Linked DNA regions of Drosophila melanogaster. The protein of the gene in region 2 interacts with the protein of the main gene of each other region in a pairwise test. Each region holds a gene or a part of one and is shown on either strand. Other genes may lie near its edges.

Evidence for each region.
Region 1: the proteins of CG12470 (region 2) and alc interact in a two-hybrid assay, tested with the Drosophila melanogaster proteins (2 studies listed by BioGRID).

The regions. Positions count from the first base shown.
Region 1 is NT_033778.4:9,132,584-9,140,489, forward strand, and holds alc (alicorn), read right to left. Parts: upstream 5,351-7,906; 5' UTR 5,017-5,350; coding exon 4,369-5,016; intron 3,413-4,368; coding exon 3,182-3,412; intron 3,123-3,181; coding exon 2,976-3,122; 3' UTR 2,792-2,975; downstream 1-2,791. Other genes in the region: Hydr1 (alpha/beta hydrolase 1), read left to right, coding at 571-764, 1,016-1,187, 1,259-2,470; CG8788 (uncharacterized protein), read left to right, coding at 7,486-7,715.
Region 2 is NC_004354.4:304,013-311,883, reverse strand, and holds CG12470 (uncharacterized protein), read right to left. Parts: upstream 4,201-7,871; 5' UTR 3,992-4,200; intron 3,795-3,991; 5' UTR 3,677-3,794; coding exon 3,089-3,676; 3' UTR 2,949-3,088; downstream 1-2,948.

The DNA.
Region 1 (7,906 bases), on a different chromosome or scaffold from region 2:
CCCAAGGTTCCTCTCTCGACAGCGATTCGAAAAATGCACACTATTTGTTATAAGGTTACATAAGTGCGTGTAACCGAAGCAGTTTGCCTCTAAGAGATTGCTGTACTCCGATCTACGTATTGCAGCTACTCGGCGAGAGCTGCGTATAGTACACAATAGTTTCGATTCCGTCACATTTGGCACGGTAATTACCTGCACTCACCGACCTAGGCAAATCAATAGAACACCATTATCCGCCCACCACCGCCACCACTACCCAATCCCGCCCATTGTTCTGTTAGTGCACGTGACGACGCCGCTGGGAAGTCCGAGCCCAACAACGAATGTCCGGGGTCAATCCAATAATTACAGATACTATCGGTCTGCGGACTCAGTTTCGATTTGTGTCACAGCCGCGTCACAGGTTTATTAAGTCGCCTTGTCTAAACTTGTATTTATTCTTTTATTTTGCCCTCTTTTTAAGGTAAGCACACATAAATTGTGGAACCCAGCACAATTGACAGAGCCCCCGGACACAAACCATTGGTTTAAGCACACCAAGCTAGTAATAGTCTTTAGTTTAGAGCCGCCATGCTGTGCGCCCTTGTCCGTGGTCCAACCACCGGCCACAAGTTGGTCCTGTATCGCTCCGTGGCCGAGCTACTTGGCCCAGTGCACGACATTCGCTGCCTGTCCGCCGGAAGAGGCGTCTATCAGCGGCAGTCCCGGTCGCAATCGCAGTCGCAGTCACAGCTCCAGAACCCAGCCCACCGTCCAGACCTGCTGTGAGTGAGCGATAAGCGCCGTGAACGAGCCAAGTGTACCTGAACCCGCCCCGCCTGCACCCTTTCGCGGCGTATTTTGTCTGCCTTTGATACGGACGACCACTCGTTCAATCAGAATCCATATGCATACATTAGCGCGCGGCGATTAGATATGCCTCCTTGTACTTATTAGCCCGAAATAGCCCATTCATGCCGCTAACAAGTCGCGCTGCGCTGTAATCATTTCATTTGTGGCTTGTTCGTTTTTTCAGCTCGCTTTCCCGTCCAGCATTAAGTTCGAAATTGTCTGTGCGGAGCCTTCACTCAGAGAACGACGCCATGTTCTACTCGATGTACGCCTACCTGTCCAACCTGCCGCGCCTCCATGTTTTGGGCATGGCTGTGGTGGCCTACGTCGTCTATTACCTTATCCAGGTGGTCAAGGTGAGTGTAACATCAGCCATTGCATCACGTCCGGTGCGTGACTAATCACCGCATTTACCGTCTAATTGCAGCGACCGATAATCGCATGTTCGGACGGGCCGTTCAAGCAGTATCTGATCCGGAAGGTGCCGACGCTGGAGAACAAGTACTGGCCCACCTTTTGGTGTGTGGAGAGTCGTGCCCAGACCGTCCTTGCGAGCCTGCTGCGCTCCAAGAGTCTGCCGCGCGTCAACTACCGCCGTGAGATACTCTCGCTGAAAGATGGCGGGGAGGTGGCCCTGGACTGGATGGAGGAGGGCTGCGACCAGAGTGCTCCATGCATACTCATCCTACCGGGTCTGACCGGTGAGTCGCAGGCGGAGTACATTAAGTGTCTCGTCTTCGCCGCCCAGCAGGCTGGCATGCGAGTGGTGGTGTTTAATAACCGCGGACTCGGCGGCATAGAGCTGAAGACACCGCGTCTCTACTGCGCCGCCAACTGCGAGGATCTGTGCGAGGTCGTCCAGCATGTGCGACGCACTTTGCCCGAAAAATGCAAGCTGGGAGCCACTGGGATCTCAATGGGCGGCTTGATTCTGGGCAATTATTTAGCCCGCAAGAGCGACGAGGCCAGGAGCTTCCTTTCGGCTGCAAAGATAATATCTGTCCCTTGGGACGTCCACAAGGGCAGCGCTAGCATCGAGAAGCCAGTGATCAACAGCCTGCTGGGACGCCACTTGGCTGGAAGCCTATGCCGAACCTTGCGCAATCACCTGGACATCTACAGGGATATTTACCAGGACTCTGACATTGATATTCAGCGCATTCTGCGCTGCAAGACGATCAAAGAGTTCGACGCGCTTTTTACGGCTAAGCAGTTCGGATATGCCCATGTGAATGACTATTACTCGGATGCCACGTTGCACAACAAACTCGATCACATTTCGGTGCCGCTGCTTTGCCTGAGCGCCGCCGATGATCCGTTCCAGCCACTGGATGCCATTCCCATCAAGGCGGCCAACCAGTGCACCCATGTGGCCATCGTGATTACGGCTCGTGGCGGGCACATCGGCTTCCTCGAGGGCTGGTGGCCGTCCACCAAAGACCAGTACATGGGCCGCCTCTTCACGGAGTACTTCACCAAGGCGCTGTTCGACGAGGATGGCGAGTTCCAGCACACGGCCAACAAGATGCACGAGCGATTCTTGGCCAAGCAGACGGTGGCGCTGGCCTCCTCGTCACCGGTGCTGTTCGCCAAGAAGATCGACGCCGATCAGTTGGACCACAAGGTCAAGCTGATGTGAAGCTGGTCGGTCGGTCGGTCGGTCGGTCGGTCCGCTAGTCTAGTTCAGTTTTTGTCCAGTTGAACACGTAGATATACGAGAATGTTTGTATTCCGATAGATTGCCGTCGGCGAAGACTCTTGTACACATGTGATATGAAACGTTGATCAAAATCCAAAGTGTTGTTATACTTATATACAGCGAACAGGGAACCAAATTATCAGTCAGTCAATATGCATAGTTGCTTAAATTACTCTTAGATCGTGACTTTAGTGACATATCAGGTTGAAATTGCAAATAAGCTGTACGATTCGTAGTAAATTCAAATACAAATTACAAATTATGACACAATGCAATAATCTTATATTTTTACAAGTTCCGTATATTTATAACTAATAAAAATACAACGCTTAATAGAGAGAAAACTAAAACACTTTTACTCATAATAAGGTAAATTTGACAAGCGGGACGTGGTATCCCTCATAAAAACCATGTTCCTACAGCTAAAATACCAATTGCGAGTTGCCTAAATGGGCTTGTACAGCAGCGTGGTGACGTACTTCTTGCGATACCTGTGCGTGGCACTCAGGACCATGACGCCATCCTTGATAGACAGGGCGTACAAGTGGTTAAGCATCACGTGGTTGGGTTCCGGCAGCAGAGTGGGTTCACACTGAAACAGAATAGGGTAAGGTTACGGTCGGTAGCTCTCGAGACAGCGACAATACCCACCGATAGCGGTGTATCCTTGTTGAGGATGACCTGGAGCAGATGGGGCGGCAGAACGGGCGGGCCAGATACCTTCTCCCAGGGCTTCACCTGCGGCACCTCCTGCGAGTACTCCTTCTCCGCATAGTTGGTCACGTTCTCGCTGTCTTTGGCTAGGGCCTGGAACACCTCGAAATCGGATTCTCGCACGGACACTAAGTTATTTCTCTGTCCCTCGGCGTTCTCCACGCTTTTCTAAAATAGCAAACCGATAAGCTATAATCAAATTGTCTGTAACAATAGTTTGGGCAATTGGGACAATATCTGCAGGCCTCGGGTTGAGTTCAATAAAACTCATGAAACTTGATAGCTGAGTTTGCGATAAAACAAAAATTGGGCAATACTTCATGAAAATGTGGCTGGGCAATGACTGCTTTCTATAATTAATAACGTACTGTTGCTACTTGTTTCGAGCAATTTTGAATTATATACAACAATTTGGCTTGCTACATATATATATAATACAAAAATTTGTTCAATGGTTTGCTTTCGTTTTGCTTACTAATTTAAATGTCAGATAAACTACATTATTTATTAGTCATTAAAACCATTATGGTTTAAATACGTGAGCTTCGTGAACTATTCTTAATAAAGATTTAAAGTCTGTGCATTTAGTAATTCATTTCTGATTGCTTTTCGTCTTCATGCAATTCTGCAACTATTTTAACATTGCGAAGTAGGTCATATATTCTATCACAGTCCTGAACTTTGTTATCCAGAAAAATATTTTATCTAAGAAAACGTTACTATTCCCTTAAATCTTTTCTATAGTTCAAATTGTTCGCCTGATAGCAATGTTCAATGGTCACTTAGATAAACTGTGTCCACAAAACTAGCGACATCCAACCGGATTTAGTAGTAATCTACAAATGGGTTTTATCGCAGTTTGCTCCCTTAAACTTGTAACTTTAATTGCATTTGTTATTTGCGAAGCATTTGAACGGGGTTCCTCAAAAAAAAAACAAAAAAAAAGCTAAAGCCGGATGAGCATCTCTGAACCCAATTGAAATCCACTACGATTACTGGGAGACTTCGTTTTGTTTACGGCGATTACACAACCCGGGGCGAAAATCGGTAACTGCGTCATTCGGGCGCCCGAATCAAAAACACTGAATAGCCTGCTGCATATATTGATTTTCCGCCCAACTGACCAGCTTGGGATCGTGCTTCCACTCGCCGTCCACGCAGAACTTGTACTGATGGTCGCCCTCCGGCAGATCTATGATGGTCACGAAGTTCTGATGGCTGCGCACCATGGCCATGGGCTTCCAATCGGAGAATGTGCCCGAGATGGTGACGTTCTTGCCGCCGCCGTCCCACCGCAGAACTGTGGGCAGTGCCGTCTTCCGGATGTCGTCCTCATCGCCGGTTAACTGAGATCCAGTCGCTGGCTCCGCTCCTACCGCTGCCTCCTCCTCCTCCTCGTTGTTGTCCATGCTGGAGTGGTCTCGGGTAACAGCTGATGTCGCGTCGTCGTGTGCGGTGCCTCGTCTAGTGGATCCAGTTCCAGTTCCCGTGTAGTACGGGTCGTCGTCTTCTTGCGACGAGCCCTCGTTCAAGACTGCCGTATGTTTTTTGTCGAACGAGAAAGCTTGGCCTCCGCCGCCTCCTCCTCCACCCCCCGCAGCTCCCACCGCCCCCGCTGCAGCGCCCAGAGCTGCTGCGCCAGCACTCCCGCCCTGTCCCGCTCCTCCTCCACCAATCGAATCGCGGAAATGTGCGGGAGAGCTCGGCGTGGACAAGTCGGTCGACTTGTGGCGCTCGCGTTGCATGTGCACGGAGGAGCTGGCGTTGCCCATGCTTATTGCCGTACTCGCTGGCTCGTCGGCAGGTCACGGACCGAGTATAATGATTGGATTTGGACTGGGTTCGACTGCTCCCTTTGTTTGGCACTTTATACTTCGCTTTAAAATGGACTCGCGTTTTTCGTTGGATTACTCTAGTACTCTGATCACATCACCGTTCGTGGCTCGAAGTCTGTGTGTTGTATTTGGCATTTAGTAGGCAGAAAACTGCATTATTTAATCGTTTGTTTCGTAGAAAAATTGCTAATTATAAACATTTACATATATACACAGGCAGTATATTCGCAGTTCCAATTGGCGAGAGCACACGCAGGGTTGCTTTCCCGTGAGTTCAAAACAAAGAAGTTATCGGGCGACAGCACACAGTGTGCCGCCCTGGTCTTAGCAGCTGTGACCGTTATCGGAGCTGCCACTCGATTTGAATTTATAGTTAGGTTGAATGTTCTGAAAATTAAAGTGTCATGGGTTTCCAGCACCTTCAGAAAGTTAAGATTACGTGGAATTAGATTAAAGTGGCAGCCACTCATTAAAGATTTTTAAATTCATAGCAACATTCTTTCAATTCTTATCATTTCAAGACAATAGATTGCATCGGTGAATTGCTTGAGTTTAATCACTATCCCAAAGCTATCAACCAATTAATAAATAGGTTAATGAATCATACAATTTATCTATTTATTTATGAATTCAACAGAATTAATTCCACTGAATTATCGGCTGACAAATCCAGATTAAACGGGTAAAGAGTGCTTTCCTAGTCGACTATATTCCTGTAAATGCGTAAAACGAGCATTACAACAGCGGAAAACTGAGGGTGCAAAGTCCACGACAATCAACATGCATCGGAGCACAATAAAAAGGCAAAAGTGGAAAGGAAGACTAGGCAAGACCGAGAAGAGTGACAAAGAGCGAGGGCGGAAGTGCGGCGAGGACAAGGCTGATCTGCGATGAACACCAGGTAGAAGGTAAGTGTATCCACCGCACAGATTTAGCCAAAACAGTCCAAAACATATGTATGAAAGCAACTAAAAGAAACGGCGATCAAAACAAACAAATGTTTGGTACCAGTGTACCACAGATGTAGAAACCAGACGCTTTCCAGACTATGGCAGCACCCCAAGAAACTCTTGGAAATACTACTCATTGCTACACCGCACATATGACGTACACTTGGAGAAACAAGCACATTCCAAACAATGCGTATGTACCTAGTTATTTCATTACAAGGAATTGAATTTAATGTACCCAAAGTTAAGCAGTAGCATTTAGTATTTATGTTTTCTGGATATATTAACTGAATGAATAGGAAACTTGTACCTAAATCCATTTCAGATCCGTGCCATTTCTTCCAGTGCACGAGCGGCTTTCCCATGTGTGTGTGCTGCGTGGTAGCCACTCACACAGCGGCAAAACACGACGCCTTCGCATTTAAAATTGATTAAAACTAAAAACACTCGATGCCGACGCCGTGCCTTGTTTCGTTTTCAGTGCGATCGCAGACATTGTGCAAAACGGTTCACAGTTCTCTCCTCGCGACTGCAGGTGATCGAGTTTTTTTCGTTTGAGTGCACTAAAAAAAAACAGAGCAAGCGCAGCAACTGGAGTTGGAGTGAAGCCCCAGGAGTCACGTCCCTTTCGAAGTCGAGTGAACTAAGCATTTAAGGTAGGTCAGTTGGATGGTTGGCTACAATGGGTTGACCTCGCCCGGTTATTAGTCTCGGTTCACTTTGCATTTGGTGCTCTTCAAGGTCCGCAGCCCGCTTATCTGGCCACGTCCGACTAACCCATTGATCGGAGCCCAGAAGGCCCGGCGGAGTCCCAAACAACTTAACTATTTCCCATGGCTCCCGAGGGCGGCGCGTGTTTGCGCCGATTCTCGACCACGTTATCAGCGATCTGCTTAGCCAGTGAACTGTTCTGAACTGCTAATTGATAATATGTATGCGGCAACACCTACATATGTACATACGTATGTGTATACTTACATATTTAGATTCGAGTTGAAACTGCGTCGCATTTGCCACTTAGTTGCCGTTTTCCCAAAGCCTGTTTGATCAGCCTACTCTTCACACATACTCCCCTCCGGATGAAGCACAAAGAGCCTCCATCGGTGAAAAAAAAAAACAAGTATGAAGCTCCAAGATGGCCACTCCACCTGGAGCAGATACGATAATAATAGATGTATACCAAGAGCTTATCAATAGCCCGACTTGTTTTCCAACCGCACCTTAAATAAATTCAATTTGGATCGTACGACGGCCGGAGGAGAAGATCCCCGCACTTGGAAACAGCTAGAGGGGCACGAGCCCACCGAAAAAAACAAGATTTCAGACAAAATAAATAAATTATGGTGTCTTCGCATATATATTTTTAGCTTTATCAATTTCGGCCGTTTTTGCGGAGGCTCGACGCACATACACTCAGACGGCCAATCGGAACCAGATTTGTAGCGAGGGTCGCACCATGGATAGCGTCAAGTCGTTCTTCGCCGGCTCCACCAAGGATGGCAGCCTGTCCAGCAACAGGCAGGCCAATGTGCCCGGCTCCTCAGTCGCCGGCCGCTGGGGTCGCAGCTGGAGCACCAGCTCCCAGCACACGGATCCCGAGCCAGGAGCCACCAGCTCGGTCTCTAGCAAGAGCGCCAATCCGTGCGATGCGAAGCGCAAGGACAGTGACAACTACTTCTACATCATGTGAGTTGGTTGGAGTAAACCTCTTTTAAGGGCCAGATTAGATAGGAGGAATTTGAGTTGACTGACATCTTTATTTGTGTTCCCGTTGGGCAGTTCCAAATTGGAAATAAGAATAGATACCACTACTCAGAAAATAAATAGTTAAGCACTAATTAGAATGATTCATAGTAGATTAGCTTGTTAATCAAAAG
Region 2 (7,871 bases):
AGCGGAGCAGGAAACATTTTGCAGCTCTTTGAGTTGCAATTGCGGATCTCGGCCACCGGCCATGAAAGAGGAAATCAATGTTGCAGCGGCGGCCGAAAGCAAAAAACCAAATTCAGAAACTACAAAAAAAACAGCGGTAGGCACCAAAAAGCGAAAAGTCACACGCTTTTGCTGCATAGCGATAGCATTTTCACTTGCTGGCCAAGCCAAATCCATTTGGCGGTTCGTAATTATGAGTGCGGCAGCAAAAGAAGCCCAAGCTGAATCTACATAGCTGTATAAACAACAAAATCATGGAAATTGAAAACATGTGTCACCCTGGACACTGCACTGGTAAAAACTTTTGAAATCTACATTATTTATTAGTTTACAAAACCAGCAATCAATATATATTTGGTGTTTACAGTTCGTCAGATCATTCTGTTTTGGCTCTGTCTTTCTTTACTTCCAATCTATCCTCATATATCATTCGTCATTTGTCGATTAATTTATTTATTATGCCAAGATCTGCTTAGTGCAAGTGAGAAGAGAAGAAACAAGTGAAATGCGCAACACGAAAAGGAAAGCGTTAGCGAGAGTTGCAACTGCATCTCATGCCAATGTAATTCGATTGCACTGAATCAAACGAGTTTCCCGTTGATCAAAAGCGCGTAAAGTGCACCCCTCCCCCCTGTGGTGTGGCTGGTTAGCATTTTTCACAATGAGCAGTTATTGAATTTCTTCGATAATATGTTGTATATTCGGTGTTAAGGCGGTTGCTGTTGTTGCTGATGTTGCTTGCTTCCTGTCATTTGATTTCATTTAGCTAATATGCAACGCATATGAATTTTTATTACGTTGCAGCAGTTGATTGGTAATTTCGTTGCATCTAATTAATGATTGTTGTTGACACAGCAAAAAATTGGCCAACAAATGTTTGCATAACATTGTTTTTACTTAAGAGAGGGTGAAAACCATTGTTTTTGCATACATCGAATAATGAATATTAATTGATTTAAAATCTAGAACGATTATTTGGTTTGTTTTAAAGAAATCCAAAATAAATAAAAACTTATCTAAACATTACACAAATATTCACATAGTAAGGAAGGGGAGGTTCATGCCAAATATATATAATCATGTCAGCGACTGACGCAAGATGATGTTGCAAACTGGCAACTAAGCAACAACAACATCAACATCCAGCATCGAGTGTCATTGACTAATGTTGCATGCAGCGTATAAAGCTGGTAAAAGGTAACCGCAATAACCAAAAATTCAATCAACGAAAACCCAAGACCGAAACAATAGAAGCGAATTTGCTGTTTTTTAGCAAAGCGCAAAAAGTTTTGGAGATGATCTAAGTCCAGGCCACTTATAAAGAAAAAAGATAATGGTATTGGTATAAAGGAATGTATTCATAAAACCTAAAATGAAATAAAAAAAACTAATCATTTAAAAGACGAAACCATTTTTTGTGTTAGTAAATATTATTATTCGAGAAGTAAAAAGTTTCGAGCGGGGTCATCGGTGCAAGTACATTTGGGGAATTTACTTGAGCTTCAAAAGGGGAGATGACAAAGTTTTTGAGTCTGCAAATAGTTGAGGGTGAGGTGTGCATTTATATAAATGGTAGGCTGACATTTGCCGACAACGTGAAAGGGCAAGTATATATATTTTTCGGAAAATAGATACCTTCGTCTTTGTCTGTCGATCTGCGACCCATGTTTCCCTCGATTTACACTGGACAAAAAAAAGTACTAGCACAAATCTTTATGGATGTTCGTCGAGAATATACATTTTTTTTTTTGGGGTTAATAAATGGTTTAGTGTGCACTATAAACTTTTGGAGTTAAAATATTATATATTTAACTCTATTTGCGTGCCTCAATCTCGATCCTCCGATCGATTGGGTCTTAAAATGCCGCGCAGCCATACAAATACGCTACTCGTTGTAAAATGTTAAATGGGACATGGCTAGTCAAGGAGTTTGGATAGTTAAAAGGTACTCACGGGAGTTAAGGAGGGGTACACGAGTTATGGTTAGGGAAACCGGACACTTGACACACCGGCGAAACAGTGGCCTAACCAGCCGAGCCTTCTCTCGTAGCCCGGACAAATGTCAAGTAAATATATATTGCTCACAAATCGCATCCACTAAAAAATAACAATATATAAATTATAAGAAGTAACGGTCTGTCTAATAACCTATTATATTATATATATATATAATTAATTAAGATGTTAATAAAAATGTAAGAACTTTAAACATTATTTCAGAATTAATTAAGATGTTAAAAACAATTTAATTGTGTTATAATATAAACATTTTCAAATACTGAAAATCTGTTTGAAAAATAAAATTTTTCAGTTTAACATCTCATAATCTATCAACAAGTCGACTACTTTTATAAATATTCAAATATCGTGTGGCCGGCGCTTGTTTGGCACTTTATTGCAAATGCTTTGCGGTTTTCGCAATCCATGGGCCTCCAAAAATTGACCCCTTACTTGGAAGGTTCACCTTGTTTCTATTGGGTTTCTTCTTTTTTCATTTTGTAGCAAGCAATAATAATTTGAGGGATTTGTTGTGCACGTTAAGCTGGAATCCTCCGCTTCATTCTTTTGAGCCGAATATTAGCAAAATGATGCACATGCATAATTTCCATACCACTCAAATGAATGGAATTAATCGAACGCTAATCGACTTGGAATCTGTACTCTAATTGACAAAATTCTCACACCCTGTAAGTCTCTAATTTTTGATATTATATTTACGATTTGTATTTTATCCACAGTAATATTGCAATAATTTATGTCGACTATTGTTATTTAACTTCTTTTGATCGTACGCTAACCTCAACTTTCCCAGCAAAACTCTACAAAAGGATTAACTTCGACATGCAAAATAAACGCTTTGGTATATCGCTATCACCGCTATTGGTATTAGAGCTATGCAAATTTGTTTTAGTTGCTTTCAAAGAGATTATTATTTATTGATAAAGATTGTGCCAAAATATGTTAAATGTTTAGAGCAAAGCTTGTCGTCCAGTATTATCCTCGTTGTGTATGCGTTGCCCTCTTTTGTTAGAAATCATATGGGACCTATTTAAGCGAATCGCATGCATTTTGCCTTTTGGGTGTACGTTACAGCGCCATACTCCTCCACAATCTGATCAATGGCAATCTTGTTTAGATTCTCCAGATATAGACGCGTCTTTCGAGACTGGATAATATAACTAATAACGTCGTGCATATTATCGAAGAAAAGAAATCCAGCAGTTCCGCAGCTGAGGTCTAGATAGCGGAACCTATTAACATCGCAGGTGCATCCATCAAACAGGAAGTAAATAAAGTCATTATTGTTGTGATACCGGAAAACCACGTAGTTGCCCCAAGGGGCCATCACGAAAACCCGCTCGGCACACCGGAATCCGGCTCTCAGGAGCTTGCAAATGCTATCGTAGCATCCATTCTCAGAGCCCACCACCGCCATTGTTTCCGGAATACGAAGAAGAGCCGGGTAATGATTCGGTTGAGCCCGAAGGACATCGTGGGGTCCGCTAGACTCTGGACAAGCGTCAAGTGGTTGCATCTGCTTTGGTGGTTCCGGACACGGAGGACATGGTGGCGCTTCGATGGGAGCCACAACTGCGGCGGGCTTCTTGCCCTTCTTTCCTTTGCCCTTTTTACCCATGGTTAATCGAGTCTACGATCTCTGAAAGTCGCGCAACGCACAAATTAGAAATGCCTCTGCGTTTGCTTCCGATCACTTGAAAATAGTTAACGAATCAAAGTAGCATATATCCTGACGTCTGAAATACGCATTTAAAAAAAAAAAATATTAATTCTTAAGTTAACCCCAACCAAATACTCAGTAAACACTGTCCCACACATATAGAATTACGACTTCCAATTGTGTGCGTATGTCATGTGAAACCAAATGCAATTCGGAAATGGGGAAAAAATTTCAGTAATATTCGGAATATGCCGAGCTTCCAATAAGACTCACCAACTAGCTAAACACGATTTGATTTTGGTACACACACCGTTCTCTTGTATTCCTAATTTTAAGTTTGGCCAAAAAAAAAATTTTGTAAATCTGGTCGAGAGCGAAGTTAAATTTTGTACAGTTTTTTTTCCGAGATTTTTTCGTGTGCTTTGTGTGTTCACAGACAATTTTACTTCTGATGTTTTGCCATATGGCTGGTGATAGCCAAGTCCAAATACTGACAGTTTCAGCAAAGCAACGTGATCTAAAAAAAAGTAAGAAAGCCATTCTATTTAATAAACCAACCCAGAGTAGGCTACGTTTGGTGCTCGTAAACAGCTTAATGCATATATAATTGCCAGTTCTTATTTTATTCAATTATCGTTGTATCACAACTTAAGGGACAACTAAATCTACTACTTTCCTTTATCTGCTGGAAGAAGAAAAATATGGAAATATTAAAAAAAATATCTGATACGATAAAAGTACCATTGAAATACGAAAAACGCGTATTTATTAATTAAACATTATCTAAGCTTCAAATGATGGCCTTTTATGAATGGACCAGTGGAATAAATCTCAGGTTTTTGGCTAAATGATGATGACACCACCATTATAATCGCAACCATACTAACCTAATGGGTTACATTTTATGGCTCACAGCGGTATCAAACGAATACGAATCCAAAAGAAAACACTCCTTCGATTATTGCTTCATCAAAAAGAAATTCTCAGCTAATGGGGTAACCCAACCTGTCATGCCGGCAAACGTGAGTCGGCAGGTTTAGGATACCCATATGGAGGAAGATATCGCTCTCTCCCACTCTCTATATACAAATGTGTGCAATCTTCAATGGTATTATTTAATCAGTTGCTTTAATGTGGGATGATTAGATAAGTACTAGAAATAAGATTCATTTACCGCATAAGTACTTTAACCTACATACAGTTTAACCTTTATACAGTTCAAATTATACTTCTTATACCCGTTACTTGCAGACTAAAAGAGTATACTAGATTCGTTGAAAATGTATGTAACAAGTAGAAAGAAGCGTTTCCGACCATATAAAGTTTATATATTCTTGATCAGTATCAATAGCCCAGTCGATCTGGCACTGTCCGTCTGTCCGGCCGTATAACGTCGACATCTCAGGAATTATAAAAGCTGGAAGGTTTATATTAAGCATACATATTCTAGAGACAGAACCAGCGCAAGTTTGTTGAAATATTACCACGCCCACTCTAAGGCCCCCAAACCCCCCAAAACTGCCACGCCGACACATTTGAAAATTTAATTTTGTAAATCTATCGATATGTTATCTACATATATCCAACTCCAACGCACTTCCTCTAGCGGAGTAGTAACACGTATCTGTAAGCCGACAAGATCGACTGAATCGTTTTCTCCTTGTAAATTCACATGGATATGTTGCCTTATACAGATGTCCAAGTCCTTCTTAAAAAAAAAAACGGCATGTTAAAAACGTAAAAAAGTACATGCTCATAAAATTGAGCTTTTTATCATAAAATAAAGATTTTTAGCTTTAAGCCGCGAAAGCTTAGTTTGGAGTACTTAAGCTTTAAGGTGCTGAATAAGTTTGCAGAGGAGAAATTGCGCATAATTTATCTCAGAGAGCGGAGTTATTTAGCACCTCTCCGGTAGCCTTCCCTTTCTTTTTTTATGACTGAAATTAATCTTCATTCACTGCAGGAATATAACAAATGGTTTGCTGATTGTTTACACATGGGCTATCCTGCAGTTGTATCGGTCAAAATAAAATACAGCAATAAAATAGAGCAATCGAAATTTTGATAACTGTGGTACCAAAGTGCAACAACCTAAAAGTCGACGCCAACGAGTCTAGGGCAAACAAAAAATAAGAACAAGGTCCAAGGCATTGGGTCAAAAGCCAAGTAAAAAAAACAAATAGAAGGAAGGGAGAACGTTATATACAAGAAACTCGACTATCCAATACCCATTATGATAACATAAATCAATAAATAAAATTCAGAATTATGTTTTATAAGTATGGGCAAATTAGGGCGGTGCAAAATTTGTTTGGCTAGAAATTGAATTGGATAGAAATTGACAATACAAAAAACTAAATTAAATTAAAAAACTGCTTTCATACGGACAAAGGGACATGCTCAGATCTGGGCTAGTGATCCTGAGGAAGGTATGTATATGTATGTATGTATATATAAACGTCATAGGGTCTAAAATGCTACAACGAATCTAGAATACAATTTTACTCTACGTGTAAATAAAAAGCGGGAATATCAACGGGAAAAATCTCTGACAAAACATACTGTAACCACTTTTACCTGGGAAGCCTACACTCCCCCAATTCTGTGAATCTCCCTCCTACCCGCTGGCCAGATGACCAATGGCGAATAGATTGGGCTAGACCACGGGACGACGACGGCAAAGTGCCTAAAGGGACTTAATCTGCTCGTTCATATAATCGCTGTCGCCAGCATTCCACGCTCCTAAATAATTATTTGCATATTTATAACATGTGTGCCAGGCCTTTTCTTATACACCCGCTAAAGACATGATCCGAAAAAAACTGCTCTCACTGGAAAGAAGAAAACATTAAAACTAATAATAAATGTTTCCCAAGTGATTATCTTCCTATAATTTCTTTCACGTGAAAACTTATAAAATCAGACAAAATAATAAACAAAAAAGCGTTTCTGACCCATTACATCTATATTCTAGCTCAGTATTGATCTAGTCATGTTCGAATGTCCCTCCGTCCGTATGAAAAGAACTCGAAAACTATAAACCGAGAAAATGGACTATAGCGCTCATGTTCTTTTTAGAGTAAATTGTCTGAGACTGTTGACAGGAGAATTGACTTGAGATGTTACTGTCTATGCTCTTGTTTTTGACGCTTTTAGTAAATTCAGCTGGGCACCTGTTGAGTGGGCGTGGCTTCCTGTTAAAGTTGTGATGACAGTGACGACATGTCACCGGCTCTTTGACTGCTTCAGCCTCTGTCAAGTTGTACTTGTCACGCCCATGAGTCCGCGATCTACATATTTTATTTCGTATTGCACAGCATGCAGAGCTTTTGAATTTTTATATGGTATGGACCGATGGTTTTGTACCTATGTACTCTTTGTTGACTATTGCTTTTCAATTCCCAGCATTACCTTTACAAACTTTTTTTACAACGCCCCATGGCTATGAAATTTTATGTGTTCATTTTTTATATCATAAAAGCAAAAGTTAACTGTAGTAATTTAAACTTTTAAACTAAAAATTGAAGCATAGGGGGAACTCTATTTTTAAGAACCTCGACTATCCCAATTAAAAAGAAATAGATTTGCTTTAACTTTTCCATGAACTATTTTACTGGGCTGGGTAAGTGCTACAAAACAGAAAAAACACAGTTACCCAATATCAAAAGATATAACAATATGCGTTGTGTATATATCTTAGTAAAGAAGTTTTTATTAAGAGGGATATATGAACAGCGTTCAATATATTATATAGATTTTTAGAGGTTAACTTAAGAATAGGGTTAGGTGTTACAATGAACTTTATTGCTTGCGATGCACGATAATTGCAACATATTTCCAGGGGAATCGAGGATTATTGCTGCCAGCTTGTTATTAATCATTAGCTTTTGTTGCCAGCAAAACATTAAAAAACAAAATCTGATTGAAAACCAACAAGGCGCAAGGCTGATATTTTTTTTTTCAAATGCGCCCAAGGGATTACACAGGCCCAGAGCAGAAAATAAAAGAAAAATCGAGGGGGTGAAAATAGTGAAATACAATGAGGACACTGTGTCTAAGTATTCAACAACCATGGTGAGCTTTAGTCTGCTCTGGATTGTGCCTAATCCTGTTCCTTGTAATGTTTCTGATTCATATACGTCCAAACACTTTA